4 linked regions of the Tamandua tetradactyla genome follow. The protein of the gene in region 3 purifies or fractionates together with the protein of the main gene of each other region. This does not show direct contact. Links are inferred from orthologs where the notes say so. Each region holds a gene or a part of one and is shown on either strand. Other genes may lie near its edges.

Region 1 (7,747 bases), on a different chromosome or scaffold from region 3:
ACCCTGAAATTCAAAATTATTATTTCAAGAATCGCAGCGGTCCCAATCCTGACTTGAGTGTGGCCCAAAATAATGAAATGCCAAAGAGGCCCACTTGGCATCGCAAGCCACCATCTCATAACTGGGGAGGTGTCACCAGTTATGACAACTGTGGAAAGATGTAGCAAGATATCAATTATGAGACGCTAGAGATCAGCCAACAAATGCTTCTGTCCCCACCAAACCTTTAAGGATTTGCTAACAACAATTCTTAAGTTATTACCCTTTGGTAAATGAGCACTCTTTGGAACTTTTCTCTACTCTTGGTCCTCAGCAATCCACATTATTCTGGTGCAGGGATGCATGGACAGAACTGAGTGGGGAAGAAAGCTGCAGAACTTCAAACTCACCTGTCCTCACGATGAGCCTCTCCTGGGAAACACCTGGGAAACCTCCCCAGCTTCAATCTGCACTACTCTACTGATGCTCAAACATATTTAATGTGTGAAACCTCTAAAAAGAGTTGTCCCTCCTTATTTTTCAGACATATTATTAATAAAACAGCTTAACCAGAACAAGCATTCTTCCTCTAATATCAAAATATACACATTTATCAAAGGGAAGTCTTAAGGACCCCTCCTCACCTTATTTGCAAGACCCTTTCCATTACATGGTGGCCCTGTAAACTTTTAATAGAGAAATTTAGATCTCCAAAAAGATAAGTTCTGAAATGTGGTCAGCTCCTGTTTAGATGAAGAGGGCAGAGAATACGTGGGCTGCAGCTGACAAATTCTGTAGTACAGCTGGGGAGCAGGTGATCTTAAAAAAAAAAAAAAAAGGCAAGTCCCTGGGCAAATCGTGTAGCCAAGGGTGATCATTATAACTGGAGAGTTGTTACATAAGTACTTGTTAACTCTTGACAAACACATACATGACTACAAAATGCCATGGTTACCCTCGCCACTGAAGCTAGTGGTACCTGGTGCAAGTGTCAAGGTTTCTCCAATTAATTTCATTCAAAGGAATAAGCAATCCTGGACTTATTCCCTTCCAAGGTAATCTCCCTCCTTTCACATACATAAAACAGCCTCAGCAATTAATCCAATCGCCTCTGGAGACGAAAATCAGTGTTTCTCCTAAATATTGATTTTTAAAGGGGAGAGGGGGTGCAAAAGTATATTCAGAAAGCTAAATTATTTATCACCCCGACAAGAACGACTTCCATTCCAAACTGGAAAATCTGAGACGAGAAAAGATGCTCCCGACCATCACCTCCCCCTCTCCACTTCTCGGCTCAACTGGCGCAAAACGCAAGACCTCGGCGTCGGATGCACTGCATTCCAACATTTTTCAAAAAGTTTACGAGGATTTACCGAAGCGGCTGGGGGGGAATAAAGCAGGCAGGAGCGGGGGAGAGCGAGTAGGAGGGTTTCAGCAATGAAAAACCCCGTGAAGCACCCAGCGGCGCGGTGCAAGGCCCGATAACCGGGAAGCGACCCGACACCGGGAAAGCGAGCGCCCCAGTGGAGCGCAGGGACTGACTGCCGCTGGGTCTCCGCCGCGGGGGACCCAGGCCGGCCCCCGCCTCCAGCCCCCCCTCCACGACCCCTCCCCCGTAGCGCCGACGATGCCCGCTGGGCCAACTTGGCCCCGGGTCAGCGCTGCAGAGCGCGGCCCCGGGTGCCGGGGAGGCCGACAACGTCCTCACCTCCTTCTGCTTGGGGTCCTGGGGATAGACGTCGGGCGGCCCAAGCCGGGGGCGCTTCAGCGGTCTCTGCTCATAGCTGAGAAGCCCGAAGGCGGCCATGATCTCTCATGTTAACCGGCGAAATGAATGAGAGTTGGAGCTGGAGCAGCCGCCTCTGAGCACCAGGGAGCAGCACTTTGCAGACAGACTCCCTCTCTCCCCCTCCTTGCTCGTTCACTCGCTGTGGCGCTGCAGGCAGGAATAAAGCAGGTTGGATGCTGCCGCTGCCCGACACGCAGACATGCACTGATGGGGGCAGGCTTCGGCGGGCACCTGGCTGCGCTCGGGCCCCGGGACGCGGCGCTCCGGCGGAGGCGGCGGAGGTACCAGGAGGTCTGCCTGGGTCCTCCGCGGCGCCCGCCTCCCGCCCCCGCCCCGTCCCTAGGGGGAGGAGCAGCTGATGGGAACGTGTGACTTTTTTCACCAATGGACCCAAACCCACGCCAGCTGGGCCCTGGGTGGGGGTGGGGGAGGGGCGCGGGGAGGAAAAAAAAACTTTTCTTGGCGACTAAGCGGGTGGCTCAAGTGCTCGCCCAAGGCAAAGGGGCCCGTCTCCCCAGGGAGGGGACGGCGGAGCGGCCCGCCCCCATCCCTCTTTCGCCTCAAGGACCCTTCCCCCGCCGCCGCGCGCCCTGCAGACCCCGCCACCTGGGCGCGGACCCGGCCGGTGCGGAGGGAGGGAGGCCTAGAGGGGTTGGAGGAGGGCTGCGGGCAGCTGAGGAGCGGCCGGTGCCTCCTAGACTCCCGCTGGGCTCCGGTGGCGCATCCGCGACTCGGGTCCCTTCCGCGGCTCCGGGCAGGCGCCGAGACGCGCTGCTGGTGGTCGCGGCGGCAGCGGCGGCTGGAGCCGGCCGTGCTCTCTGTGGCGCGGGGCCGACTTAACCCTTTGTTGACCCTCCAGAGGCGGGTTGGGGGCGGGTCGAGAGGGGCGGCAGCGAGCGCAGATCGGGGCTGACAGACTGCGGGCGTCTCGGGCTCCTCCAGCCCGCCGCCCTCCCCCCCGGCCGCAGCTCCTCCACCCCCACCCCCCAACAGTTTACCTGTTGGTCACTGGCTAGCGGGCAGGGGCCGGCGGCGGCGGGGGCACTCTGGCGGCCGCAGCCTCCATGATTCGGGTTAGGATTAGGGAACTCGATTTTATTTTATTTGTAAGGTATCAAGTCTAGTCCAGGCGAGCTCCGGGGACGCCACGAAGTTTGCCACTGTCTGGGGGCGGCGGACGACGCCGGCTCGCAGCCGCCGGCGTTCTCGCCCCCACAGCCCGGGAGCGCGAGCTTCCTAGTTGGCGGACGGCAGCGCGGCGGCCGCACTGAGCATGCCCAGCTCGGCTGCCGGACCGCGGAGGAGTTGGCTGCCAGCGCTGGGAGCGCGCTCCGATCCGCCTCTCCGGGTTTTCGCAGCCGCAGAGCGCGCAGCCTGCGGGCCCAAGCGCCGGGGATGGCCCTGGGGTGAAGCCGGGCAAGGGAGGGGGCGTCCCCAGCACCGCACTCCGGGCCGCAAGCTGCGCTCTCCGCCTCGACCTCTCCAGAGGTCGCTGTCCCCTTGGCCCCGGCTGGAAACCTCACCTGCGCCGGGCGCGTAGAGGGAGGGGCAGCGGATAGTCTAGGAGAGATCTCGATCGTCCCACCCACCCGCACTCCCCGCTTGTTTGGGGCGTGGGCGCCAGGATGCTGGGCCACCTGCCGCGAGCACTGCGAGGCCGCCGCGGGGGCGGGCCCAGCGTGTCCCGGGGGAGCCCGCGGGAGGCGCGCCCCGGAGGATGCACCCGCACTTGGCCGAGAAGAATGATGGCTGCCATTTATGGAGCCCTCTCTTCTTGCCGGGATTTTGACAGTCAAGCTCGATAAACTGCACAACTTACAGGATTTCCTGTACCCTTTTAATAGATGGAGAAATGAAGTCGGTTCAAGGGAGGTCAAGTGACTTGCTGAAAGCCTCGAAGCTAGTCGTGATTTGAATTTACCTCTGCCTGATCCCAAGTTTCTGATCTATTCTCCCCGGAGTTTCCTGGCGCGCAGGTGCCCGATTGTGTCGCGTTCATCACAACTTGAGGAATTTCTCGGACTCCCATTTCCCTCCCCTATAAAATGGTCCAGGCAGAATCTAAGCATTTGTGCGGCAGCTGCACATTGTAGATGCCCAGGAAATGTTGGATGTACCGAATATCTGCTTACCTCTGCTGACTTCAAACAAAGGGGAAAGAAGGAAGTAGATAAGGAGATGACACCCTGCTAGCAGCTAGTTCCTCCGTCCTGACCTTGAGTCCTAAACACTTGAACCTATACCTGAGGCTAAATCAGACCTGTAGTTTTGGGCTTCCTAACTCAATCTGAGCAGGAATTTATAGACACAATGAACCGCCATCAGGAAGCACTTCCTGAACACCCTACTCCAGGGGCTTCTGTTCCACTCATACTGTGAGTGCAGCATAATGGTTGGTTGAACTTGCCTTTATGTTATCAGTCTAGCTCTTGCTTGAAAGAAAGGACATATAATATAACCTTGTTAGGAAAATGATCAAATGTACCAAAGAGTAGAGGGCATAGTATAATGAACCCGCAAGAACTCATTATCCAGCCACAGCAGTTATCAAAGTTTTGCCACTCTCCCCAAGACCCAACACGCTGGCAGACTCACGGGTGAATGAATTTCGGTTACATCCCTGAGAGGTTTCCTAAACATCTGGTTACTAAACATCTGATCACTAACACTAAGTAAGGACTTGTTGTTACTAGCCCCACTCAAATCTGCTGTTTGTCAATCTAAGTTATGGTTACAGCTAATTCTCCCAAGGTCCTCCCCTATTTTGTCTTGGTTCCTCTATCTTCGTGACTGCACCTGTTTTATTTTTAAGACACATAAAGTCTGTGCTTAATATTTTGCACAGCCTCATTCCAAAAAAAAAGGAGTGAGAGGGCCAAAAGAAATGCATACAATACAATGGGATAAAAAAAATAGTAATGACTGAAATACCTACCTTGAAAATCCTCTTTCCTAAAGCACCACCTTCTCCCCTTTTCCCTTCCAAAACCCTTGAGGCTCTAACACCACACATGCTCTGTATTTACGAGTTACAAGTGGGAAGAAAGTGCTTGCACTAAAACAGGGTTCTGCATAATTCTGTGCCACACATGGCATTAAAACAAAGACGAGGGAAAGTGGGTTTCTGCCAAGGGAACAGGTGGGTACATCAAGCTATTTATTGAAAATCCCCCTCAGATTCCACAGTCACCAGAAGCTTGGAAGGGAAAGGTCTTGGAACCTTTGCCCCTGGTCCTATCAAATCAGTCTTGCCTCTCTTGACTTGAAGAAGAATGTACACAAGTCAGGTTATGTTATAACCCAGTGTCTGCTTCGTCACCTGTCAGCTATGATGGTGTCTCATTCAGGGGCATGCGTCCTAAGGTACCATATGACCGATTCTGTTTTCATGCTGTTGTTACAGGTCATCTGTATAATAGTCATCAGGCCTATTTCTGAAAGTGCCTTGTTGCTCACTGTACCCCCTCATTGGCCAGAAAAGTCTCAGTTCTCTCAGAGCACTGATTGGTGTGGGCCTCAGACCCAGGGACAGTAATTCTTGTTACTGGAGGTAGCGATAAGTAGGATGTTGTGAGGTCCTCAGAACAGCTTTAATTGATAAGCCTCCTCCAAAATCATTCTTTCACTACATAGATTTCCCATAGACATTTGGTTCCTTCCTTGCCCTTACATTTGGGATCTTTGCAGTCCACCTCTACCTACCAAACTCATTCTTTCTCCTTCCCCTTTGCCCCAGTTAGCACTTACCCCTATTTGCAGCATGGAAATCGCAGGTGATTCTTCTTGAGCTATCCATCTCCTATTCCTGATAGCGTTAAGATTCTGTATGGAAAAGTGGTAGGCTAGGGGCACATAGGACACAAGAAGGAAAGAGAGAGCACAAAAACTGGGACTCTATAACTTAGCAAAATCTAGAGTGGCCAAGGATGGTAATTAAATATACAAATATAAGAAAGCTTCTATATGAGAGAGAACAAATGAATGTCACCATTGCAAGGTGTTAAAAATGGGATGGTATATGGAAAAAATACAATTAATCCAAACTGAGGTCTATAGCTAACAGTAACATTGTAATATGCTTTCATTAATTGTAACAAAGGAAATAAACCAAAGCTAAATGCCAATAAAAGGAGGTTATGGTGGGGGGATATGGAATTCTTATTGTTGATGTTTCTCCTTTTTTTCTCTCTCTCTCTCTCCTCTTCTTTCTTAGGGGGAGAAATGGAAATACATAACTATGTGATAATACTGGGAGCCATTGATTGTACACTTAGGATGGATTGTTTGTTGGTGAATAAAACTGTGTAAAAAATAAACACAAGGTACAAGTACTGGAGAAAGTGTGGAGAGAGAGAGAGATACCTATTCACTGTTGGTGGAGAAGTAGAAAGGTGCAGCCCCTCTGGAGGGCAGTGTGGTGGCTCCACAGAAGTAGCTAAGTATAGAGTTGCCATATGATCCTGCAACCACATTATTAGGTATATACTCGGAAAACCTGAAAGCAGGGACAGGAGTAGACATTTGTACACTGGTATTAATGGTGGCATTATTCGTAGCTTGCAATGGATGGAGGTAGCCTAAGAATACATCGACTGGTGAAGAGAAGGACATACTGTGGGGTATACATACGACAGAATATGGAGTGGCGGCAGAAAGGAATGGAATCGTGAGGCATGCAATTAGGTAAAATAATTCTTGAGGATATTATGTTGAGTGAAATAAGACAAATGAAAGGACAAATATGGTATGGTCTCTAATATAAACTAACTATAACGAGCAAACCCTAAGAATTGAATCTGAGATCATAGGTTATCAGGGGATACAACTTGGGCAGAGAATGATTAAGGAGTACAGAAGGTTCAGTAAGGTTCATTGTAAAGGTTCCTAGAAAGTGAGATCGTATAGCAGTCACATCTGTTCCTGAGTTTTAGCTGTTATTTCTAAATTCTGAGATGCTATGCTCTTTGTATATAACCTGGTAGTTCCCTGGAATTGGGGTATCTGTGTGATACTAGAGACTCAGACATAGAGTTCTGCAGCTCTGATAGTCAGCATTACTCCATACCCCAACTGGTAAGCTGAAAAAGAGATCAAAAGACCTCAATTAAATATATTAAAGAAATGGACCTGGTTAGGATTAAGGTAAAGCAGAATACAGTGTAAAAAAATGATATTGTCTGTGTTTTAAAACCTCAACTTCCATGTGAGACCAAAGGAAGAGATGTCTATTTAGTCCAAAATTTAAATTTTCTGAAATACACTATCTAATTTAACCTGTCTAATCAGTTTATTTAAACATCATAATTACATGGAACCTAGAATAGGGAGTGAAATCTTGTTATTCTGTACAGGTTAAGGTAATACCCTGATGCATTCTAATGTATTTTGGGCAGAAAAAAAAATTGCGAAGTCCCCTTAAGGGACTGGAGAAAAGTGTGAAACTATTAAACTTCCCAACCTGGAGAACTCCTGATATTCTTTCAAGCATTAGGGACTCCCAATTTAATAAACCAAGACCTTGATCTAGAGGCTTGCCCTTATGAAACTTATTTCTGCAAAGATGAAGTTAAGCCTATTTATAATTATGCCTAGGAGTCACCCCCAGAGAACCTCTTTCGTTGCTCAGATGTGGCCTCTCTCTCAAACACAACTCTGAAAATAAACTCACTACCCTACCCCGCCCCACCCCCAAGGGATATGACTCCTAGAGGTGTGAGTCTCCCTGGCAACATGTGACCTAACTCCCAGGGATGAATCTGGCTTTGGTATTGTAGGATAGAGAATTCCATCTTGACCAAAAGGTGGAAAATAAATTAAATAAAATAATGTTTCACTGGCCAAGAGATTTCAAATAGTAGAGAGGGTATTCTGGAGGTTACTCTTATTTGAGCTTCAGCCAGATATTGCAATTTGTCACAGTATGCCAAGCTCCAAGCAACAGTATTCCTGAAAACCCTCAGGAATGCCCTGGGCTATATC
Region 2 (7,792 bases), on a different chromosome or scaffold from region 3:
GGATTCCAGGTTGCGGGTGACCACCCCTACCCACGATGGGCCCTGAGGATGCCCCGGCCCCACCTCACACCTGACTGGTCCCACTCAAGACACGTGATGGCCTCCTCATGCTCCGAGTTGATGGAGTGGGCATCCCAGGGGTGCTCTGTGTCCAGGATGTGAATCAGGCGGGTCAGATCTGGGGAGACAGGGCATGGTCAGTGCTGCCGGGCCACAGCCTGGCGAGGACAACACAGTCCCCAAGGCCCCCATGGCCCCAGGGGCAGGTATGGCTGAAAAACCCACAAGGATACCTCGGAGCCAATGACAAGCATGCAGATGGCACTAATGCAAGGAATATGCTCACCTCCCATGGTGGGGACAGGGTGGGTGCAGCTGTACTGCCATTGTGATCACAGCCAGTTTTTAAAAAGGCTTAGAATGAAATTAGAGGAAAATGACCCAAAAAAGTAACAGTGGGCATCTTTCCATGGAAGGCTACGGCTGGCTCTCCTTTTTTATTCTGATTTTCTGTGCTTTTCTAATTTCCTCTCACAAGCAGATTATTCGAACAATGGGGAGAAGCCAGGCCCGGCCACTGTCTGCCCTGGGACGTGCATTCAGGCCGTCTGCAGAAATCACCACGTGCCCCCACAGGGGTGAACCAAGGGTCTCCTGACACTGCATTTACCCCTCAACCCCACCACCCTCTATTGGGTGGAAGAGTGTCTCCCAAATGCTCACCCCCAGGAACCTCGGGAGGTAAGCTTATTTGAAAGTAGGGTCTTTGCAGATGTGATTATTTAAGATGAGGCCACAGCGGGTTAGGGCAGGCCTGAATCCGGCAACAGGCGTCCTTATGATAAGAGGGAAACATGGACACAGAAGACACAAAGGGGACAATCACAGGAAGATGGAGGCAGGGATGGGAGATGCGGCCACAGGCCAAGGAGCACAGATCAGGCAGGAGGGACACTCCCCCGAGAAGTCAGGCCCTGCTGAACCCTCAATTTCCAACTTTTGGCCCCCAGACTGAGTCTACAAGTTTCTATTGCTTATCTCCCCCCAGTTTGTGGTCCATTGTTATCACAGCCACAGGGAGCTAAGCGAGACCCCAAGTTAGAGGTGGGGAGTCTCTGAGTGAGCCTGGACCATCCAGTGCACCTGCTAGGTAAGGGGTGGTTCTGGGAGTGCCAGGCAGGCCTGAGGGGCCCAGGGTTCCACTGTGGCAGGTGCCAAGGGCTCTGGGATTGTGGGGGGCTGGGGAGAGCGCACCCTGGTCGTCGCTGCGGAGGTCTGTGGTGAAGGCGATGAGGTTGCGGCAGGACCAGGCACAGACTAGGGGCACCGATGGGCAGTAGGTACTCTTGGGCCATTTCTCCCACTCGCAGACATAAGCCAGGTCCATTGCACCCAGCACCGCAGGCCAGGCTCCGAGGGTAGGCACCAAAGACGGTCATCAGCTCCTGAGGGAGGGGAGGAGGGTGGGCTCGTCATGAGTGTTGACTGATGCCTGCCCTTGGGTCTGGGGGTAGGGGGGTCAGGTAGAGAGGGGCTGGGCACCCTCACTGGGGCAGAATATTACTGGCAGAGGCAATGGCTCATGCAAAGGCTCTGAGGCTGGCCCAGGGCTGGTGTGTTCAAGGAGTGCTGGAAGGTGCGTGGCTGGGGCAGAGGGAGAGAGTGGGAGGGGGGAACAGGGCAGAGAAGGCAGGACTCCAAGGGTTATGGGAGGGCTTGGGTTTTCGTCCCCAGCAGGGTGGGAGCCCTGGAAGGCCGAGACTGATTTATGTTTTAACAGGACCCTCTGACTGGCTTTGGGATCTGGCCCAGGGACCTACCCTGGGCAGGGAGGAATCGGGTTCGACTCAGGGTTTCTGCTCTGGACAAAAGGACAATGGCTCTGCCTTGGGCTATGGCAGGTGAGAAGCCCACTTTGGCCCTGGGCTCCCACCCCAGCTCCCTGCTCCAGCACTCCCAGACCTGGGACCTCTAAACACGGCTCAGAACTTCCCTCAGTCTCCACACCTGGCCATGCCCCAGAACCAACCCCACTTTCACGACCCACAGCCCTGGCAACAAGCATTAAATAAATAACGACGACAACAATGGCGGTAACAGCAGGAGAAACTAAGCAGGGCTGTATTCTTTTCACCATTACCAGAGCCCAGTCGCCCTACTTTTTTAAGCCCTGCCCCCACACCACCAAGATCCAGTCACAAGCCCCTACAAAGTTCTCAAAGCCACACTTTCAAAGCCCTTTGCTGGCCAGACACCACCCCCGTCCAGGTCCCGCCCCCAAGTCCTGCCTAGATCCTCAGGTCTCACCGCTGGGACCTCTAGGCCCCGCCCCAAACTAGCTTCAGGCTCCACCTATGAGGCCTCTATGCCCCGCCCCAAGCCGGCCTCAGGCCCCATCCCCGGGCCCTCTAGGAAATGCCCCGAACTCGTCTCAGGCTTCGCCCCTGGCACTCCAGACCCCGCCCCAAGCCCCACCCCCGAAAACTCTGGGCCCGCCCCAAGCACGCCTCAGGCCTGCCACCCACCACGTTTGCCCTCCACCACCCGTCCCCAATTCCTCCTAGCCCAGGACCCCCGACCTCCAGGTCGCCTCAGGCTGTTCCCAAGTTTCCGTAACAACCCCAAGGCCTCGCCCCAACGCGGTCCTCCCGGGGGTGTACCCGGCACCCTTTGCTCTCCAGGCCCCGCCCCTGACTTCACAGGCCCCGCCTCTTGGCCTTCCAAACCCCGCCCGTCCGGGCATCCCCCGACTTCTCCCGGCTGCGCTGAGGGCCACACGAACCGACCACACGCCGGTTCAAAGCCCAGAGACCCCGCCGAGCTCCCGCGGCCCCACGCCCATCCAGCGGCTCGGTACCAAGACAAGCAGGCGGCTGCGGCCTGCAGTCACCATACCTCTCCGGACCCGAAGCCGCCATATTCCCCGTCACCAACGAGTCGCGCGCGCGGTGCTGCGGCTTTCCGGAGGTTTCTGGGATGGCGGCGGCAACGGCTTCTCCCTAGCGGCCATCTATTTGCATATAGGCGTGACTAGACTCCCAACAGCCACCGCAGTTTTATTTGGTAGAACGACGAGTTTCCTCAGCTCCATTTAGCAATTACAAAATTAAGTTACTCAAAATCTTATATTAATATCACAGAAAACATGTTGATTGCTAAACTCTTATACACTATAAAAGAATTTGCCCTTCCTGTAAAGATATTTTCTTCGAGCCCTATAAATACGGCATCTGCGAACCACTAGCACGTGCTCGCTTCGGCAGCACATATACTAAAATTGGAACGATACAGAGAAGATTAGCATGGCCCCTGCGCAAGGATGACACGCAAATTCGTGAAGCGTTCCATATTTTAGTTCTTGTTTCTTAAAGTTCTGGGGCGGGTGACCTGCCCACTGAGGACCCCACAGCTTCGGCCCCAAGCTCCGGTACTTATCCCGCACTTTCCTTCTCCCTGCTGGATTCTAAAGGCAGTCATTGGCTGTCAGAAAAGCCCTCTGGCCTGGGAGGCCCAGGTGCTCAGGGCTGGCCCACCACTGGGCGCCTAAGCCCCGTTCACACCAAGCAGCCATGCACCTGCTCTAGACTTTACGCTTAGATTTCCAAGACCTAACTTCGGCCTTTAAAGCTTTTGTCTTGTTTTTGCAGTTTCATTGAGACATATTCACACACCATTAATCTATCCAAAGTCTACAAGCAATGGCTCACGGTTTCGTCGCGTAGTCGTGCATTCATTACCATGATCATTTTAGAGCATTTTCATTACTCAAAAAAAAAAAATCCCATATCCTGTATTCCCCCCTATAATTGACCCTTGGCATGGTTAACGTTGAAGAAAGAATATTACAATATTACAGCTGTTTTCCATAGTTTGCATTAGTTGTATTTTTCTCCATACACCACCTGATTATTAACATCTTGTAATAGTCTCATATATTTGTTCTAGTTCATGAAAGAACATTTTTACATTTGTACAATCAACCACAGACATCATCCAACACAAGGCTCTCTGTGTGTTGTCCTCTAGCTTCCCTTCTGGTGACATACACCACCCAAAACTTCCCCCTTTCCAGCATACTCACACGCATAATTCAGTGCTAATTACACTCACAAAAACGTGCTAACATCACCTCTACTCATTTCCAAACCTTTACAGTCAACCTAAATAGAAATTCTGCGCAATTTAGGCAGCAGGTCCCCATTCTCTATATTCCCTGATTACTTGTATTCTAGATTCTAATTCAATGAGTTTATTTGTTATAATTATTTCATATCAGTGAAATCATACAATATCTGTCCATTTGTGTCTGGCTTATGTCACTCAGCATTATGTCCTCAAGGTTTACCCAGGCTCCATGCTTCAGGACTTCATTCCATCTTCCCGCTGAGTATTCCATCGTAGGCACACACTGCATTTTGTTTATCCATTACTGGTTGGTGGACACTTGAGTTGTTTCTATCTTTTGGCAATTGTGAACAGTGCTGCTGTGAACATTGGTGTGCAAATATCTGCTTGCATCGCTGCTTTCAAATCTTCTGGTTCTATACCTAGAGTGACACTGCTGGGTTATTGAGTAACTCTATACTTTCTGAGGAACCGCCAGACTGTCCTCCACAGTGGCTGCAGCTTTCTACATTCCCACTAACAGTACAAGTGTTCCTGTTTCTCCACATCCTCTCCCACACTTGTACTTTCCTGTTTGTTTCCATTCTTGTAGGTGTGAGATGAGATCTCATTGTGAGTTTGATTTGCATTTCCCTGATAGCTATGAAGACAAGCATCTTTTCATGTGCTTTTTAGCCATTTGTATTTCCTGTTTGGAAAAATGCCTATTCCTGTCTTTTACCCATTTTATAATTGTCTATGTATTGTTGATTTCTAGGATTTCTTTATATATTCTGGATATCAAACCCTTATCAGATCTGTGGTTTCCTAGTACTTTTCTCCCATTGAGTCAGCTGCCTTTTCAACCTTGACAAAGTCCTTGGAAGCACAGAAGCATCCAACTCTGAGGAGCTCCCATTTATCTGTTTTTTTCTTTGGTTGCTTGTGCTTTGGGTGTAAGGTCTAAGGAACTACCGCCTGTCACTCACTAGGGTTTTTTTTTTTAATTACATGAGCAGGCGGCAGGATTTGAACCCAGGTCTGTGGCATGGCAGGCAAAAACCCTGCCTGCTAAGCCACCATGGCCTACCCATGTACCAGGTCTTGGAGATGCTTCTCTATATTTTCTTCTAGGAGTTTTATGGTACTGGCTCTTCTATTTAAGTCTTTGATCCACACTGAGTTCATTTTTGTATAGGGTGTGAGGTAGGGCCCTCCTTCATTCTTTTGGATCTGGATATCCAGTTCTTCCAGCACTGTTTACTGAAGAGACTGCTCTGTCCCAGCTGCGTGGACTTGGGAACCTTGTCAAAAATTAATTGGCCATAATTAACAGGAGGACATCGGCTGTACCACAGCACTACCAGGGACAAATAACTGGGGGTACTGTAGGGGTGGGGAGAGGGATAAGTGATATGGGGCAGTTTTGATGTGATGTTATGTTTGCCAGTTCTTTGTCATTATAGACCAATGAAAATAGTCTAAAATTGAGTGTGTTACTAATTGTACAACCAAATAAAGATACTGCAAGACATAGTTTATTTGAGACATTATTCATGATGCCCAATAGATGGAGGGAGCCAAAGGATACAATGACAGAAGTACAATGGCGAATGATACATTTATATGATGCAATTTGGTGCAGCTACAAAAGGAAGGATGTCGAGGGGCACATGACCAACTGGATAAACCTTGGAGATAATAGGTTGTGCAGAATGAACCAGAAAACAAGAGTACAATGATGCTAAGGTCACTTTCAAAAAACGCTTGTATGAAAAAAATGAGAGCCTGAATCGTGGCCCCTTAGAGCGGCACATCTGGTCTGAAGTTGTGGATGTATTTCTGGATTCTGAGACTCTGAGCTCTGTGTATAATGACTGGTATTTCCCTGGAACTTTGATTAGCTCTGCAACACCTGAGTCCCTGAGATGGCGGGCTGCAGACCTGAACGTTAGCATAGCTGTGTAAAACAACAGTTGAAGTAACAGAGAAAGGGATCATGCCTCAATTAGAGGTTAAAACAAAGTCAGTCTGGCTGGGTCTAATGCAAATCAGAATGCAGGGTAAAAGATGATAATGTATGTACCATATGAGCTGCCGTGTGAGATTAAAGGCACAGAGGTTTATTGTGCCTAGAACTTAAATTTTCTGTAACTCACAGTCTGAGCCAGGCTCTCTGGATAGTTCATTTAGACAGCCCGGATTCCTGGAGTGCAGAACGAGAATGAGGCTGTGTAATTCTTAATGGCTTGGGGTAGTACCAGGAGACATCTCAGACTATGGTGGACAGATAATTAAAAAGTGTTGGTAGGGGTAGAGGGTGAGTGGCCTCAATTCGGCCTTGAGGCGCGCGCGATGTACGGTTCCCTTCCCCACACCCCGCACACCCCCCACCCAGCTCAAGGACCTTTGGGGAACGCCACGGTCCTTGCCCACCGGCCCATTCCTTTTGAGACCGGTTTGACCTTTAAGGCTGGAGACCAGAACTGTCCCTCAGAGCAAGCCTTGCAGGGTGGGAGCAGGGCCCATCTCACCATCTAGGAACTTTGGGAATCGGCGGGGGTGTGGGGCTCCTTGGATTTCCTAAATAGTAGCCGCTATCCTTTATTCAGCATACGCTACTTAACGGGAACATCTGATGGAGCAGATGTTCACAAAGATTGACTTCAGTCATGGCTTTGGGGTTAAGATGCTTCTTCTTGTTGAATTCTTGATATTCTCACAAGCAGTGTGGACAACCAAAGCTATAGGCTGAGCCTCCAGTCTTGGGGTTTGTTCATATGAAACTTAACCCCACAAAGGATAGGTCAAGTCTACTTAAAATTTAGGCCTAAGAGTCACCCCCAAGAGAGCCTCTTTAGTTGCTCGGATGTGGCCTCTCTCTCCAGCCAACACAGTCTCACTACCCTCCCCCTCTCTGCGTGGGACATGACTCCCAGGGGTGTGGACCTTCCTGGCAACGTGGGACAGAAATCCTGGAATAAGCTGAGACTCAGCATCAAGGGACTGAGAAAAACCTTAGAATGAGCTGAGAATTAACATCAAGGGATTGAGAGAACCTTCTCGACCAAAGGGGGAAGAGTGAAAGGAGACTAAGTGTCAATGGCTGAGAGATTCCAAACAGAGTCGAGAGGTTATCCTGGAGGTTATTCTTATGCATTAAGTAGATATCACCTTGTTGTTCAAGATGTAGTGGAGAGGTGGAGGGAACTGCCTGAAAATGTAGAGCTGTGTTCCAATAGCCATGTTTCTTGATGATGATTGAACAATGATACAGCTTTCACAATGAAACTCTGTGAATGTGAAAACCTTGTGTCTGATGCTCCTTTTAGCTACTATATCAACAGAAGAGTAGAACATATGGAATAAAAATAAATAATGGGGGAACAAATGTTAAAATAAATTTAGTTTGAAATGCTAGTGGTAAATGAAAGCGAGGGGTAAGGGGTATGGTATGTATAATCTTTTTTTTCTCTATTATCGTTTTATTTCTTTTTCTGTTGTCTTTTTATTTCTTTTTCTAAATTGATGCAAATGTTCTAAGAAATGATGAATATGCAACTATGTGATGATATTAAGAATTGCTGATTGTATATGTAGAATGGAATGATATCTTAATGTTTTGTTTGTTAATTTTTTTAATTAATACAAAAAAGTTAAAAAAATACATATTCCCCCCCCCCCCCCC
Region 3 (7,048 bases):
TTGTGCATTTACATTTTAACTCTATTAGAATCTGAAATTAATACAATCATAAAAGACTCCTTTCCCTGCATGTGATCACGCCTCCAATAAAGTACTTTCCCTTTCCCTACATTCCTTAAAAATGTTGAGATTTTCATAAGTGCAGTATACAAGCAGGATAATTTTACTAATCCCTTAAATCAAACAAATTATCTTTTGAGTTGTTTTATTTTCTAAAATAACGTAAGAAGCTAACACCTTTGGTCTAAATTCTTTTTACCGATTATTAACGCTTTATGATGCTCACCTGACAAATGAAAAGGATACAATATTTACTTCATTCACTTTAATAGTCAAACATGTCTAAATAAAACAATATTTATATTATTTCACTTTACTGTAAATCTTAGGATTGTCTTTGAAGGTGTTACTGTCTGGATTTCCAGCGTACTCTGAAATTTAAATTGCAGAAACTATAACTTAATTTGAAAGCAAATAATACTAAAAATAAATTATTTGATCATGATCTTTTTAGAAAAGATTAAACAGCCACAAATTTTATTTCACCAGGACCAAAATACATTAAATTGAATTTCACTGACATAAGCTCAAAAGAACCTTGTAAATACAGTGCTGTATTTTACCAGAGTGAAATTACAAAAAAAGCCAACCTGAAAACTAGTCCCTCTGGACAACAAAAACCATTTTAAGTAATTTTAAAACTCTCTTGATATTTGATCCATTAAAAAAAGGTTCATCATATAAACAAAATTATTATAGGCTGCTGGAAAACAAGACTAAAGATTATTAACAAAAAGTTATTTTTCCAAAACACAATTTTATTTTTCAGCTATCATAAATGACTAAAAAAAAACTTGATAAATTATATATTCAGCCACGTTTAAACTGTGTAATTCTTCTCAAATTATTCTTGACAGCCTAAATTGAAATTTGGACTAAGCTATTCAATGTGCTTAAAAAGTACCTCCGGCCAATATACAAATTATGGTTTTAAAATAAAACATTACATGAAGTTAATCAAATTTGCATTTTCTTATTAGCATGATTTGGTAATTCATGAAAACAGAACGGGCTTCTCTCAGAGAAATTAACAATAATTTAAAGTCCCTTGAATTTTATAAAACAGATGACCAACTGGTGAAATATACTGATGTCTCATCTCATGGGATTGGGGATTTTATTAATATGTTACAAATTATGTAATATTGGGGGATGGGTGAAGGGGAAATGGTTTAAGACTTTTGAAAAATATAGTACGGTAAGCTAATTAAGCATAGTTTTTAAAATATGTATGTCATTACAGAGTTATGCTTTAAAAAGAAATCTAATTAGACAAGAGAGTCAGCAGTATCTCCAGACGCAGATTTCTCAAACGTCACTAGACTATCCACTCCACTAAAAAGTACTTTTAAAAATCATGTGGCATCCAGAGTATCAAGTTTTTAAATCCCTATCTTCTGCAGATATCTATATTGCTTTAACTGCTGCATAAAAGCACTGAAATACACATTTCAAGTTAATTAGAACTATCTTCCTCTTGGAATCTATTTTAAATTATTTTAGAAAGATATCTCAGTAAATCTAAGAAAAGTGTTAAATACACCTTTCTTTTCCATGATCTAGCTAAAGTTTTATAAATGTTGCCTTCCCCTCTCACTCCAGGTAACTAATTTCAGCTTTATGAAAGGTTTCGATTTTTTTTTAGTGCTAGAATATATCTTCTACTAATTTGGAGAAAAAAAGAAAAGTACTTATTTTAAATGTTACATAGCAACCAAACAAATTAACAGTGCTGTTCGAGTAAAGCTACTCTGTTTCCAATAGACTCCAAAGATTATTAATTAATAAGCTTTGACGTTATCTTCCCAACAATTTTCTCTAGTGGCAAGGCAACATAGACAACACCCATTTTGTAAGAGGAAAATGAAGAGTTAAATACATTTTTAAATATATTTTCTTCCCAACTAAGAAATGTCTTCTCTTTTGTCAATATTACAAGACATTATAAGTCATTCATCTACTGACAAAGGAAAATAATGAACACTTTCTTGACTGCTTAGGAAACTAAACTGGGAGCACTGCTGGTCATAGATTTAATTATGCTATTTCTAGGGAAGAATGTTTAAAGCAAAAAAGACTAAAGTTCACTCCTAGCTGCTAAATTTTGGGGGAACAGCCTAAACATACAGCCCCTATTTGTCACTTACCTTTTCCCACCATCCATCTACCCTGCAGCAACCCCCCATTGTTCTATGCAAAAACTCACAGCTGATGATATTTAAGCAGCACTTGCTACATTTATTTTACAGATGATCACAAAGAGGAACGCTCAACAACCACATTTCCGTGCTGCCTTCTTTCCCCCAAATAAAACCTAAATGTGATCATAAATCGATTACAAGCTGGTCAGGGGAAAGGATCAGCTTGCCTTCCAGACTGACCGATGTCACTCCAGAGGCGGGGGAGGAAATCCCCAGAAGGTGACCATTATAAGCCGACAAAAACCAACAAACAAAAATATAAACTGACAATGTATAACGAACTAAAAAAAAAATCTAGTACTAAAACCCTAGAAGAGATCAGGGCCCACGGGAAAGAGGCGCCTATTCCCCGTCGGCCACCCAGAAGAACACAGAGGCAGCACGCAGGATTACTTGTGGTTCTGGATCCCTCGTACACCACTTCCTCCCCGAACCTGGCCGGCGGGGCCAGACGCGGGTGCCGAGGAAGTGGGAGCAGGGCAGCCGGCCCCGCTCTTCCCCGCCACCTGCCTCGGCCTGCGAGAGTCAGAGGGGCACACGCACTCACCCATCTTTCCTCTTGGCTTTGTAGACGTGACCGTAAGTACCTCGGCCAACTTTGCAGCCCTCGTATTCAAACAGGTCCTCGACCCGCTCCCGCTCGCTGCTCAGCTTCACTTTAAAGTCATAGTCCATTGTCACAGCCTCCGAGGCGGGGGAGCTGGGTCGGGGGGCCGGGCGGCCGGGCTGCGCGCCGGGGAAGCACGGGCGGCCGCGGCCCCCGGGAACACGCCCGCTCTACGCCCGGCGGCCGCAGCACCGGCCCGACGGAGGCGGCGAGAGCAGAAGGCCCCGCGGGAGCGCCGGGGGCATCCAGGGGGGCGGCGGGGCCAGGCGAGGGAGGCTGGGGACGGGGCGCGGCGTCTGCCCTTGTCCCCGGGCTCCGCGGCGCCGGCTCCCGCAGCCCTCTCGGCCGCCCGGCTGCTCCCGCGGCTGTGCTGCGGCGGGCGGCGCGGCGGGCCCTCCTCCTCCGACACGCACCCGCTCCTCTCCCTCTCGCACACACTCACACTCCCTCACTCACTCCCTCGCGCACCCATACACTCCGACAGAAAGGCAGCCGCCACACAACAGCCGGTGCCTCCTCAGAGAGAGGAGGAGGGCGGGCACTCGCAGAATCCGGCCCGGCTGTCGCAAAACGTCGCCAAGTGGGGCTCCCTCGGCTGTCGAGCGGCCTGGACCTCCCTCCCCCACTTCGCCCTCGTCTGCTCCGTCGGGCGGTCGCGCGGGCCGGGTCGTGGGGACCCGGTGAGGGGGCGGCTGACCAAAGCCCCCGACGGACGCACCGTGCGCCGGGTGCCCAGCCGGGGCTGGTCCGCACTACAATGCCCAGGATGCACCGGTCGCACTGCGCCCGCCCCTTCCACGACTCCGCCCCACACAGGGGAAACGTGGGCTGAGCCGCTGGACGGGATTTGTAGTTCGAGGTGGGATGAGTTCAAGTCGCTGGAGGGGATGTGGTGGGGGCTGTTGGGTTTTTTTGCAACGACATCTTCAGAGTCTGATCTGAGCCATTAACTTAAGTAAAGAAATGCGCGAGTGAGGGATGCTGGTTTATGTCAGAATCACAGTCTGCAACTCCCGAACTGCAGATTTTAAAGAGCAGGCTCATGATGGGAAAAAGCCTGTATAATGTTTGTAAACAGCGCACATGCTATGAGTGGGGCTACTCTTAGCGTTCACAATCTCATTAGGACTCCACAGTGTTATCGACACACTGCAAACATCAAGAGAAGTGAATCAATGAGGAATGTCTGCTCTGCTCCAAATATTATTGCTCTGCAGATAGATGATCATCCAAATGGTTCCCATGCATTCAGACAGAAGCTTGTTTAGGGTACGACTTTCTACACCATTCTCTATAACAGCACCAATTTTTAGCCATGAAGTTACAGTAGTGGGAATAAATCCATGGGAGCTAATTTGTTGACAATGTTAAGGCAGGAAAGGACTCTGTAGGAAGAGTCCTGGTATCTTGATAATAATCTCTCATTTTGCCTTGTCTCTCTTATTTGCATGTCTGTTTCTTTTTTAACTTTTTGGTTTGCATTTTCTACCATTTCTACTATAGTTCCCCAGTCCCAAACAGGGTATGTCTCTACAGTTTTTAAACCCCCATAATACTCTCCCACCCAACTTCCCCCATCTGTGGCCCTCGTCAAATTCTGTTTCATGGATTTCTATAAGAAATCATATTTGCATCTTCCATAACACCTAGCATCATGCACAGTAAACATTTGTTGAATTAATGAATGAATAAACATGTTATATTAAAAATATCCCTGCAGAAATTATGATGATGTGATGATGATAGTATTTTCTTTAAACTCTTCCACAGGACCCTTCTCTTATATAAGTTTCTTTGGAGAAAATAATAACTTCATCAGTGGTTTAAATTAAGCTATTTTTACATAGTACATTCAATATTATTTGGTGTTTAAGTACTTTGACTCTGGTTAGATGGGCCAAGGTTTGAATTCTGCTTTGCCATTTATTAACAGCATATCCTTGACTACCTCTGAGCTTCAGTTTCTTTGAAAATGAAGATATAAAAGGCCCTCACTGAAAGTAAGTGCATAACAAATGTAACTTTCACTAATGAGATATTACATGTTTCTATTCAGGGATATTAACTGAGTGACTCTAGCAGGACTGTGCCTTAGCATAGTTAAAAGTTCTTTTTTTTTTTTTCCTCAATGGAGTTGTAGACCAGATTCCTCCTAGAAATTTATTTTGTGCTTCTTGAGAGGCCTGTCTTTTTGCCCAAGTATTTACTTGTAGATCTTGAGAAACGAAGTCACTCCTCTGGAAGAAAGATTGTAAAGAGGCATGGAGCTAGGATTGGTCCTACACTGTGGGTGCCCACCCCCCCACTCCTCCATATACATACCACCTGTGTGTGATATTCCCGAACATTGAAGATCCTCGACTTTTTAAAACGTACTTTTGTCTAACATTTTGATCTACCCTAGATGAAGGTAAGAATTCTTTCTGAAGGAATTAAATGTCCTAACAGTAATCCCCAGGCAGGAACAGAAGCTGACCTTTGACCAGGGAAGAGAATGGCCTGCTATTCTTTCTGAGAGTTAGAGGTCTGACCTCCAAGTTGGGGAAATATGGTGGTACAAGGTAAGCTAGCCCCTTAACACAGCCTCAGGATGGGGACCTAAGGAAGAAATGGCCATTAGGGGCTCCTTCCAGAGGAGTAGGGCTAATGTGTCAAGAGCAGTAATATCTGACATCGAGTTTTAAGTTTTATTTTCTGCATGGTTATTCCCTTCTGTTATCCCCAAGCTGTCAGCCTGATCTTAGCTATGGGACCTGCATCCATGCTTGGAGGAAGGGGAAGAACGGCAGCCAGAGACTTAATTCTGAAAGATAAGAAATGGCCTGCAGAGCCAAATAGGTGAGCTAGGAGAGACTTATATATAAGTATTCCAAAATTTGAGGAGCAGAACCTGTTTAAGAATGGGCTTCCTGAGGTTAGAAGCATGGAGGTTCAGACTTACGTGCTATTTGAATGAATTACACATATCAGGAACATGGAGCTCTCATTTCAGTGTCAGTTTACAACCTCAGGTCATGCTGATTTCACTTATCTCTCTGCTGTGTGATGAGATCCAATGTTGTAGAGTCTATGACCCTCATTGGTCTCCATTCCAAGCAATTCCCAAATACTGCTCATGCTTCCCTTCTTAAAGTGTGGTTTTCTTTACGTTCCAAATTGAACATCTCCAGACTTAACATGCCTCCCAAGCACCAGCCCTACATTTCCAACTTAAATTTTCTGAAACTGAACACACTGTGCTATTATCTGAACTTCCCAATTCCTGTACCTAGCAAGCCCAGTAGACAGTCATTCTGTTGAGGCCTTCATTACCTACACATTTGTACTTAACACCCTTGCCTAATATGCCTGTTCTTACGGCTGGAAAGCCCGTGCTAATACCATCACTGACCTTTGCAGTCATACTCATTCTCAAGGGCACATCTCAAAGCCTAACTTAGTCATGAAGCCTGTCCTGATTCTTGCAATTGAATATGATCTTTCTGTGCTGGTTTGAAATGATGCATGGACCCTAGAAAAGCCATGTTTTAATCCTAATCCCATTTTGTAAAGGCAGCCGTTTCTTCTAATCCCTATTCAGTACTGTATGTTTGAACTTGTAATTAGATCATCTCCCTGGAGATGTGACTCAATCAAGAGTGGTTGTTAAGATGGATTAGGTGGAGACATATTTTCCACCCATTCGGGTCGATCTTGATTAATTTACTAGAATCCTATAAAAGAGGAAACATTTTGGAGAAAGCTGGAAATTCTGAGGGAGCAGAACGATGTAGCCACAAGAAGCAGAGTCCACGATCCAGCGACCTTTGAAGATGAAGAAGGAAAATGCTTCCTTCATGAAACAGGAAGCCAATAGAGTGAGCTAGCAGAGGACGCCATGTTCACCATGTGCCCTTTCAGCCGAGAGAGAAATCTGACTATGTTCGCCATATGCCCTTCTGCTTGAGAGAGACACTCTGAACTTCACTGGAATTCTTGAATCAAGGTATCTTTCCTTGGATGCCTTAGATTGGACATTTCTATAGACATGCTTTACTTGGGACATTTCCATAGCCTAAAAACTGTTAACCTGCAATTTATTAAACTCCCCTTTTTAAAAGCTGTTCTGTTTCTAGTATATTGCATTCTGGCAGCTAGCAAACTAGAACACTTTCTTTACCAAAACCCCCTACTCATACTC
Region 4 (7,270 bases), on a different chromosome or scaffold from region 3:
TCTGGGAATATTTTTGGTTGTCACATCCCAGGGGGTGGGGCTGGGCAGCTACACTACCAGTAACCAGTAGGTGAGAGACCAGGGATGCTGTCAAACTCACTACAGTGCACAGTATGCACGCCCCTTCCCCACACCCCCCACAGTAAAGACCACTCTGGCTCAAAGCATCACAAATGCTGAGGTTAAGAAACCTCATTCTATACTTACGACTAATTCTAATAACCACAACAGGGAGGCTTAGGAGTCTACTTTTCACTGCAGGCTCGACACCTGCACACACAGCCTGAAACAAAGCAGACACTCAACAAACAAGGCTGAACAACGCTAACAAGAAACAGCAGCTGGGCCACGGTGGCTGAGCAGGCAGGAATGCTTGCCTGTGATGCCAGAGGACCCGGGTTCGATTCCCGGTGCCTGTCCATGCAAAAAAAAAAAAGAAACAGCAGCTAAAACAGGGGCCATTTAATAGCCCATTAAATAGCCATTTAATACCAGACCAGATCAGAACTTGAGCTAAGCCCAGAGCAAAGATTAGCCCCTGAGCTCCTGTCAACAGCACTAAGAAATGGAATACCATGACCCCAGTCATAAAAGCACTAAGATTCACTTATAAACCAGGAAACTCAGGCACAAAATATTAGCACACACAAACATAGCACTTCACGTGGGCCAAACACTGTTTGCAAAGCAGTTCTCAACTCATTTAAAATTCTCAAAGTGCCCCTGTGATGTCGTGGTGGCTAGCCCCAAGGTGGCCTCCAATGGTCCCCACCCCTGGGAGCTCATGCCCTACTGCAGTCCCCTCCCACGCTGGACAGGACTAACTTGTGCACCAAAGAGAATGTGGCAGTAGTGATGGGTGTGACTTTTGGGGCTTAAGCCTAACAAGCCTTGTAGCTTCCTCCTTGCTCTCTCTGCTGGATTGCTCAGAGCTGGGGGAAGCCAGCTGGCATGTTAGGAGGCCATGCCAGCAGCCCCAGGCAGAGGCCTTGTGGGAAGGACCTGTGGCCTCCTGCCAATAGCCACAGAGTGTGCCAGCTTGGGAGCAGATCCTCCAGGCCCATTTGACATCCTGACCACAGTCTCAAGCAGACCCCCAGCCAGAAGCACCCAGCTAAGTCACTTCTGTTTTCTCTTTTTTGGGGGGTACATGGTCCAGGAATCGAACCTGGGTCTCCCGCATGGAAGGCGAGCATTCTACCACCGAACCATAAACACTTGTTGTTTTAAATCATTAAGTTTTAGGGTGATTTTGAACATGGTGGTAGGTAAGTAATACAATAAGTAAGTAAAACAGAGTCTAGTAATATCCTGATATCTCTTTTTAGAGATGAACTGTACAAGGTCCAGAGGAGCAGGGATTCCTGGGTCTGAGTGTTAGGTGGTGGACCCCAGGTGCCAAACTCCAATGAACTAGTACACTCTGACTTAAACCCAGGGGGATCTATGATGCCACAGGTGTGAGCTTTCTGTACTAAAGTTTCAATGTGCCTATCTGAACAAGGAGGGTTGGAGGAGACAGGAACCAGAAGAGAAAAACAGGAGGGGAGGCACAGAAGGACATGAAGTGGAATCTGGAGCTCAACCAGGACTCTCTGGCTGCAAAACCTGTCTCCATCCAAAGCAGTGACGATCTCACAAAACCCGCCACAGAGGTGCCTTATGGGACCAACACGCGATCTTTCCTCGCTGAGTCCTTTCAACTAGCCAATGGGAATGAATGGTTCCTGAAGCTCAATTCCAAGCCACGGCCAGTTCATGGCCCCTCATGGGAACCCCAACCCACCCCAGCAGGGAAGAAGCTCACTTAATGCTATCGAGCCAGGTGACAAACTCGTAGGCGCTGCTGGTGGGAGCATGGCATTGCACGTAGGACTCGGGAGCGCAGTCCACCGTGTTGAACACGACGAGGCTGTACTGGGTCCCCCCATACTGGGAGAAAAGGACAGAGGAATCTGAACTTGAGTTCCCAGCACCCTGATCCTTCAGAAAAGTTGGGTTACCGGCCGCCTCCTCCCTCAGACCCCGGAGTCCCGGCCTCCACCCCACTCCTCCCTCAGCCCCAGGTATCCGGGCCCCCAGTCTCCTCCTCCGTCAGACTCCAGAGTCCCGACCCCCAGAACCTCCTCCCTCAGACCTGGGAGTCTGGGCCCCCAGCCCCCTCTTCCCTCACACTCAAACAGTCCCGAGACTCACGTCTCCCCCGAAGTCCGTCTCAGCAGGAGGACCACCATTAAAATACCTATCAGGGCCAAAGGTCAAAAGTCGAGGTTAGCCAAAAGGCCATTTAAAACTAAAGCAGGAGGGCGGGTTTGGAGTCGCGGAAACGGCACTCACTCGATGGCCGGGAGCAGATAGTGCTTACGGAGCCCCTCGAAGTAGGGACCCAGGTTAGCCGTACCCTCGATCACAAACACGACGTCGGCCACGAGGCCCCCGGCGCGGGCCGGGCCCTCCGACCCGGGGACCATAGCCCGCGCCGCAGCCACCACAGCCACCGCCGCCACAGCGGGATGACCGGAAGTGCGCTGAACTGCGCGCGCATCCGCGCAGGGCGGCTTCGAGCCGCTGGGGATACGCCGGCGGCCATGCTTGTACAGGGCAGGCAGGGCGGTCGGTTCCATCCCCGTCCTCGTTCACAACCACCCGATGAGAGACCCAGACGGGACAGAGTGAGCCATCTCGGGAGCCTGGTGCGGGAGAGCGAATAGGGGACTGGATCATCCAGAACAAAACACAGCGACAGCGGCTCCGTCGGCCGCCATCTTTGAGCGGGGCACCGCTGTTTCCGACTCTGGTCTCCCTGGGCTGGTGAGGAGACCTAGTTGCTATGCGACGCGTACGCTGCCCTTGTGTTCAACAGGGAGATTTAAGTTTCTAGTTACATTCTCTCCAGCGGGTGCAGGATGGGTGAATGGTCCAATCAGAGCGTCCGAAATGGGCGTCGCTCGGCAACGCTTTAAGGCTGCAAACAACTTGGAAGCCAGCGAGGCTGTTTTCCCCGAAAAGAAGCCGAGCTCCTAACCCGGTGGAAGTTGCTAGGCAACACTTGCTAGTTGTTTGCTGGGAAGGGAGCCGGAAACTGGCCCCAAAACAAATACGTTCCAGGTGGATTAAAAATGTAAACAACGAAACCATAAAAATATCCGAAGGAAAAAGAAACGCGCTGTATCATTCTGAAAACCGGCCAAGATTTTCTTAGCATCATCCCGAAGACAGAAAACTTAAAATACTGGCATATTTTTGCCCACCGAAACAATGCCATGTTTGGAAGATATACAGGAAACGTCTTTGCAACATACCTGAGAATCAAAATTTACTACACAAATGAATCTTACGAATGGATAAAAAAGTAGAAAAATGGACATAGTCTTTTTTAATTTTAAATTTTTTTTTAAATGGGAAAGAGCCTGAGCAGCCTTTACACAAAGAGAAATTAAAAATGGCCAATAAAAATATGACAGCTGCCTGTCTTCATCGATTAAAAAGTGCTGACAGAAAGCCCGGTGAGATAGCGTTTTGCTTTTGTGGTGGTAATTAATATCAGAAAGGATATGGATGTTCATTGAGGTGGCAGAATTTGGGTAAAAGGAACAATTTCACAGACTGTCTGTGGGAATGTAAACGGGACGACTTGCTCCAATGCATTTTGGCGATATATGTTTCTGCCAAAAAACTGCATTCCCTTTGAAAACAGCAGAAGAATCAGCATTTTGCCACATTTACTTGATCCATCCATTTTGTCTTTGCTGAAACTTCGTAAAGCAAATCCCTGAAACCCTATCATTTTACCTCTATGTGGTTGCAGGCATTTCTAAACATGTATGGATTTTTTTTTTTGCATAACCACTTTCCAATTACACTCTTGACTAAATTAACAGCTGTTTCTCAGTATCATCTAGCACCATAATCAAATATCCCCTATTCTCTCAAAATGTCTTTTTACAATTGTTTTATTTGAGTCAGTCTCCGAACAACGGCGACTCACATATTATTTAGACATTATGACTCCTATGTTTCTTTTCATCTAGGACAGTCCACTCCTTTTTTATGCTAGCATGATTGAATTTCTAGCAAGTTTTTAAAAGGAAATAAAAGTAACATTGAGAAAGGAAAAATGATCAACAGGTAAGACAAGTATTTAAATGTTACCTGAAATTAAAATCTGCCCTGTTAACTTCATAAGGCAACTTTTCTTTAGATAGGTTAAATGCTTGATTGGTTGACATAATTGAGTTTTAAGCCTTTCTATATGTGTATTAAGAATGGTAAAATTAATGATTAAGTATTTTAGACTAGACTTCTGGAATTATGATGGACTAGGCGGACGAAACTGTTTTTAAGATATTGGTCGTTTCATAAGAGGAAGGAGTATTCTTCCAGGATCCTCTCCCCAAAGAAGGGAGGGAGGGAGGGAGAGGGAGGGAGAGAGAGAACTAGAAATTAATAAACAAAAAGGCAGGGGTGTTGTGTGTTGGTTTTTTGGGCAAAACTGCCTGCACCGATGTCTCCAGGAACTGAGGACAGTTTGAATCCGACAACTGAGTCTGGTTGTCTAGTTAAACCAGGACCTTCCAGGGCAGGCCGCTACAGCAGCTCCATGTGGGATGCATTCCTGATGACTCACAGAAACAGGAGTAAATCCTACACAGAGGACTCAGATCACGATCAAGTAACAAGTTCACAAAGATCCCCAGCCAGAGGTGAGAAATATAAGCAAGAGTCCACAGAAGCCACACTCAGTAGATGTAGACCCCAAGGGCCCCACATGCTGGGATGGCCCAGTTCATAACATACCATAAAGTTCCAAATAGTGAAAGAAATAAAGGGCACTAACTTATCGCATGCCATGTAACAAACTATGTCCAAACATTGTGATTTCAAACCTCATTTACTATCTCACAGTTTCCCTTGGTCAGGAATCCCTACACAGTTTACCTGGGTGCTCTGCTTCCAGGTATCTTACAGGCTGGAATAAAAGTGTCAGCTGGTGCTGCAGTCATCTCAAGGTTGAACCAGGGAAGGATCTGCTTCCATGCTCACTCACGTAACTATTGGCAGGATTCAGTTCTTCAAGGGCTGTTGGACAGGGGTTACCCTCAGTTCTTCACCATGCAAACCTTTCATTGCAAAATCCATAACAGAGCAACTTGCTTTATCAAAGCAAGCAAAAGGGCAAAAGAAAATGTCAGGAAGAGAGAAAGTGGAAGCAAGACATAAGCCATGGTCTTTATAGACTCTCCTTACCTTTGCAATACTCGGTTAGAAGCAAGTCATAGGTCCCCTTGCATGCCAAAGGGAGAGAATAACACAAGAGAGTGAATATGTAGAGAGACATTTTGGAAGCAGCCTACACTAGACCCAATCACAAAAATCAACGAGCACAAAGGAAATATCAAGAATAGGTGAAGTTGGTTCTGTGAGAAAATCAATAAGATTGGTAGACCCTTAGAGAGGTTGACAAAAAGAAGAGAGAAGATGCAAATAAATAAAATCAGAAATGGAAGAGGAGACATAACCACTGACCCTGTAGAAATAAAGGAAGTAATGAGAGGATACAATGAACAACTTTATGCTAATAAACTCAACAATGTAGATGAAATGGACAACTTCCTAGAAAGACATGAACAACCAACATTGGCTTGAGAATAGACAAGCTCAACAAACCGATCACAAAGAAATTGAATCAGTCATTAAGAAGCTCCCCCAAAAGAAAAGTCCAGGATCAGTTGGCTTCACATGTGAATTCTACCAAACATTCAAAAAAGAATTAGTACCAATTCTGCTCAACCTCTTCAAAAAAATTGAAGAGGAGGGAAAGCTACCTAACTCATTCTACCAAGCCAACATCACCCTCATAACAAAGCCAGACAAAGATATTACAAAAAAAGAAAACTACAGACCAATCTTATGAATATAGATGCAAAAAATCCTCAACAAAATTCTTGCAAATCAAATCCGGCAGCATATTAAAAGAACTGTACACCATGACCAAGTAGGATTCATCCCAGGTATGCAAGGATGGTTCAGCATAAGAAAATCGGTTAATGTAATACACCATATCAACAAATCAAAACAGAAAAACCACATGATCATCTCGATTGATGCAGAAAAGGCATTTGACAAACTTCAACATCCTTTCCTGTTGAAAACGCTTCAAAGGATAGAATTAGAAGGGAACTTCAACATGATAAAGGGAATATATGAAAAACCCACAGCTAACATCATCCTCAATGGGGAAAAATGGAAAACTTTCCCCTAAGATCAGGAACAAGACAAGGATGTCCACTATCACCATTGTATTCAACGTTGTGTTGGAAGTTCTAGCCAGAGAAATTACACAAGAAAAAGAAATACAAGGCATCAAAACTGGAAAGGATAAAGTAAAACTCTCACTGTTTGCAGATGATATGATACTATATGTCAAAAACCCCCAAAAATCCACAGCAAAACTACTAGAGCTAATAAATGAGTACAGCAAAGGGGCAGGTTACAAGATCAACACTCAAAAATCTGTAGTGTTTCTATACACTAGTAATGAACAATCTGAGGGGGAACTCAAGAAATGAATTCCATCTACAATTGCAACCAAAAGAATGAAATATTTAGGAATAAAATTAACTAAAGAGACAGAAGACCTATACAAAGAAAACTACAAGACATTGTTAAAAGAAATCACAGAAGACCTAAATAGATGGAAGTGCATACTGTGTTCATGGATTGGAAGACTAAATTTGGTTAAGATGTCAACTCTACCTAAATTGATTTACAGATTCAATGCAATACCAATTAAAATCCCAAAAACTTACTTTTCAGAAATAGGAAAACCAATAACCAAATTTATGTGGAAGGGCTGGGTGCCCCAAATAGCTAAAAGTATCCTGAGAAAGAAAAATGAAGTTGGAGGTCTCACACTACCTGACTTTAAGGCGTATTGTAAGAATTCGAGAGTTTTGCCACGCAAAGGACTCCAAGAGACGTTCTCTCATGCAACACGCAAGGGGTTTATTTACCACACATGCGTGGGGCTCACTGAACATGCAGGAACAGAGAGCCCCGAGCCTGGATTTGGGGAAGCTTTTAAGGGGTAGGAGGAGGGGGGTGAGGGTCGAGCATGGGTCACAGGTGCTGCTTCATGCAAGAAGCAGATAACAGACATTTTGCAAGAAGCAGATAACAAACATTTTGCAAGAAGCAGATAACAAACATTTTTCACGCATGAGTCATGGGAGCTGCTTCATGCAAGAAGCAGCTGTCTCGTTGTGCAAAA

What was found.
Region 1: the proteins of CDK8 (region 3) and MED12L purify together in Homo sapiens (affinity purification with mass spectrometry; 3 studies listed by BioGRID and IntAct, counting the BioPlex papers as one, with this or other methods). This does not show direct contact. The link is inferred for Tamandua tetradactyla from reciprocal best matches to the Homo sapiens genes CDK8 and MED12L.
Region 2: the proteins of CDK8 (region 3) and MED16 purify together in Homo sapiens (affinity purification with mass spectrometry; 10 studies listed by BioGRID and IntAct, counting the BioPlex papers as one, with this or other methods). This does not show direct contact. The link is inferred for Tamandua tetradactyla from reciprocal best matches to the Homo sapiens genes CDK8 and MED16.
Region 4: the proteins of CDK8 (region 3) and MED25 purify together in Homo sapiens (affinity purification with mass spectrometry; 8 studies listed by BioGRID and IntAct, counting the BioPlex papers as one, with this or other methods). This does not show direct contact. The link is inferred for Tamandua tetradactyla from reciprocal best matches to the Homo sapiens genes CDK8 and MED25.

The regions. Positions count from the first base shown.
Region 1 is NC_135331.1:44,633,227-44,640,973, reverse strand, and holds the start of MED12L (mediator of RNA polymerase II transcription subunit 12-like protein), read right to left. Parts: upstream 3,003-7,747; 5' UTR 2,767-3,002; intron 1,916-2,766; 5' UTR 1,787-1,915; coding exon 1,688-1,786; intron 1-1,687. UniProt on the Homo sapiens protein: May be a component of the Mediator complex, a coactivator involved in the regulated transcription of nearly all RNA polymerase II-dependent genes.
Region 2 is NC_135337.1:82,091,541-82,099,332, reverse strand, and holds the start of MED16 (mediator of RNA polymerase II transcription subunit 16), read right to left. Parts: upstream 3,001-7,792; 5' UTR 2,896-3,000; exon of another isoform or gene 2,565-2,895; intron 2,094-2,564; exon of another isoform or gene 2,088-2,093; intron 1,446-2,087; 5' UTR 1,388-1,445; coding exon 1,255-1,387; intron 179-1,254; coding exon 71-178; intron 1-70. UniProt on the Homo sapiens protein: Component of the Mediator complex, a coactivator involved in the regulated transcription of nearly all RNA polymerase II-dependent genes.
Region 3 is NC_135330.1:191,475,219-191,482,266, reverse strand, and holds the start of CDK8 (cyclin-dependent kinase 8), read right to left. Parts: upstream 3,003-7,048; 5' UTR 2,937-3,002; coding exon 2,809-2,936; intron 1-2,808.
Region 4 is NC_135342.1:11,337,534-11,344,803, forward strand, and holds the start of MED25 (mediator of RNA polymerase II transcription subunit 25), read right to left. Parts: upstream 3,012-7,270; 5' UTR 2,625-3,011; coding exon 2,338-2,624; intron 2,243-2,337; coding exon 2,197-2,242; intron 1,933-2,196; coding exon 1,808-1,932; intron 1-1,807. UniProt on the Homo sapiens protein: Component of the Mediator complex, a coactivator involved in the regulated transcription of nearly all RNA polymerase II-dependent genes.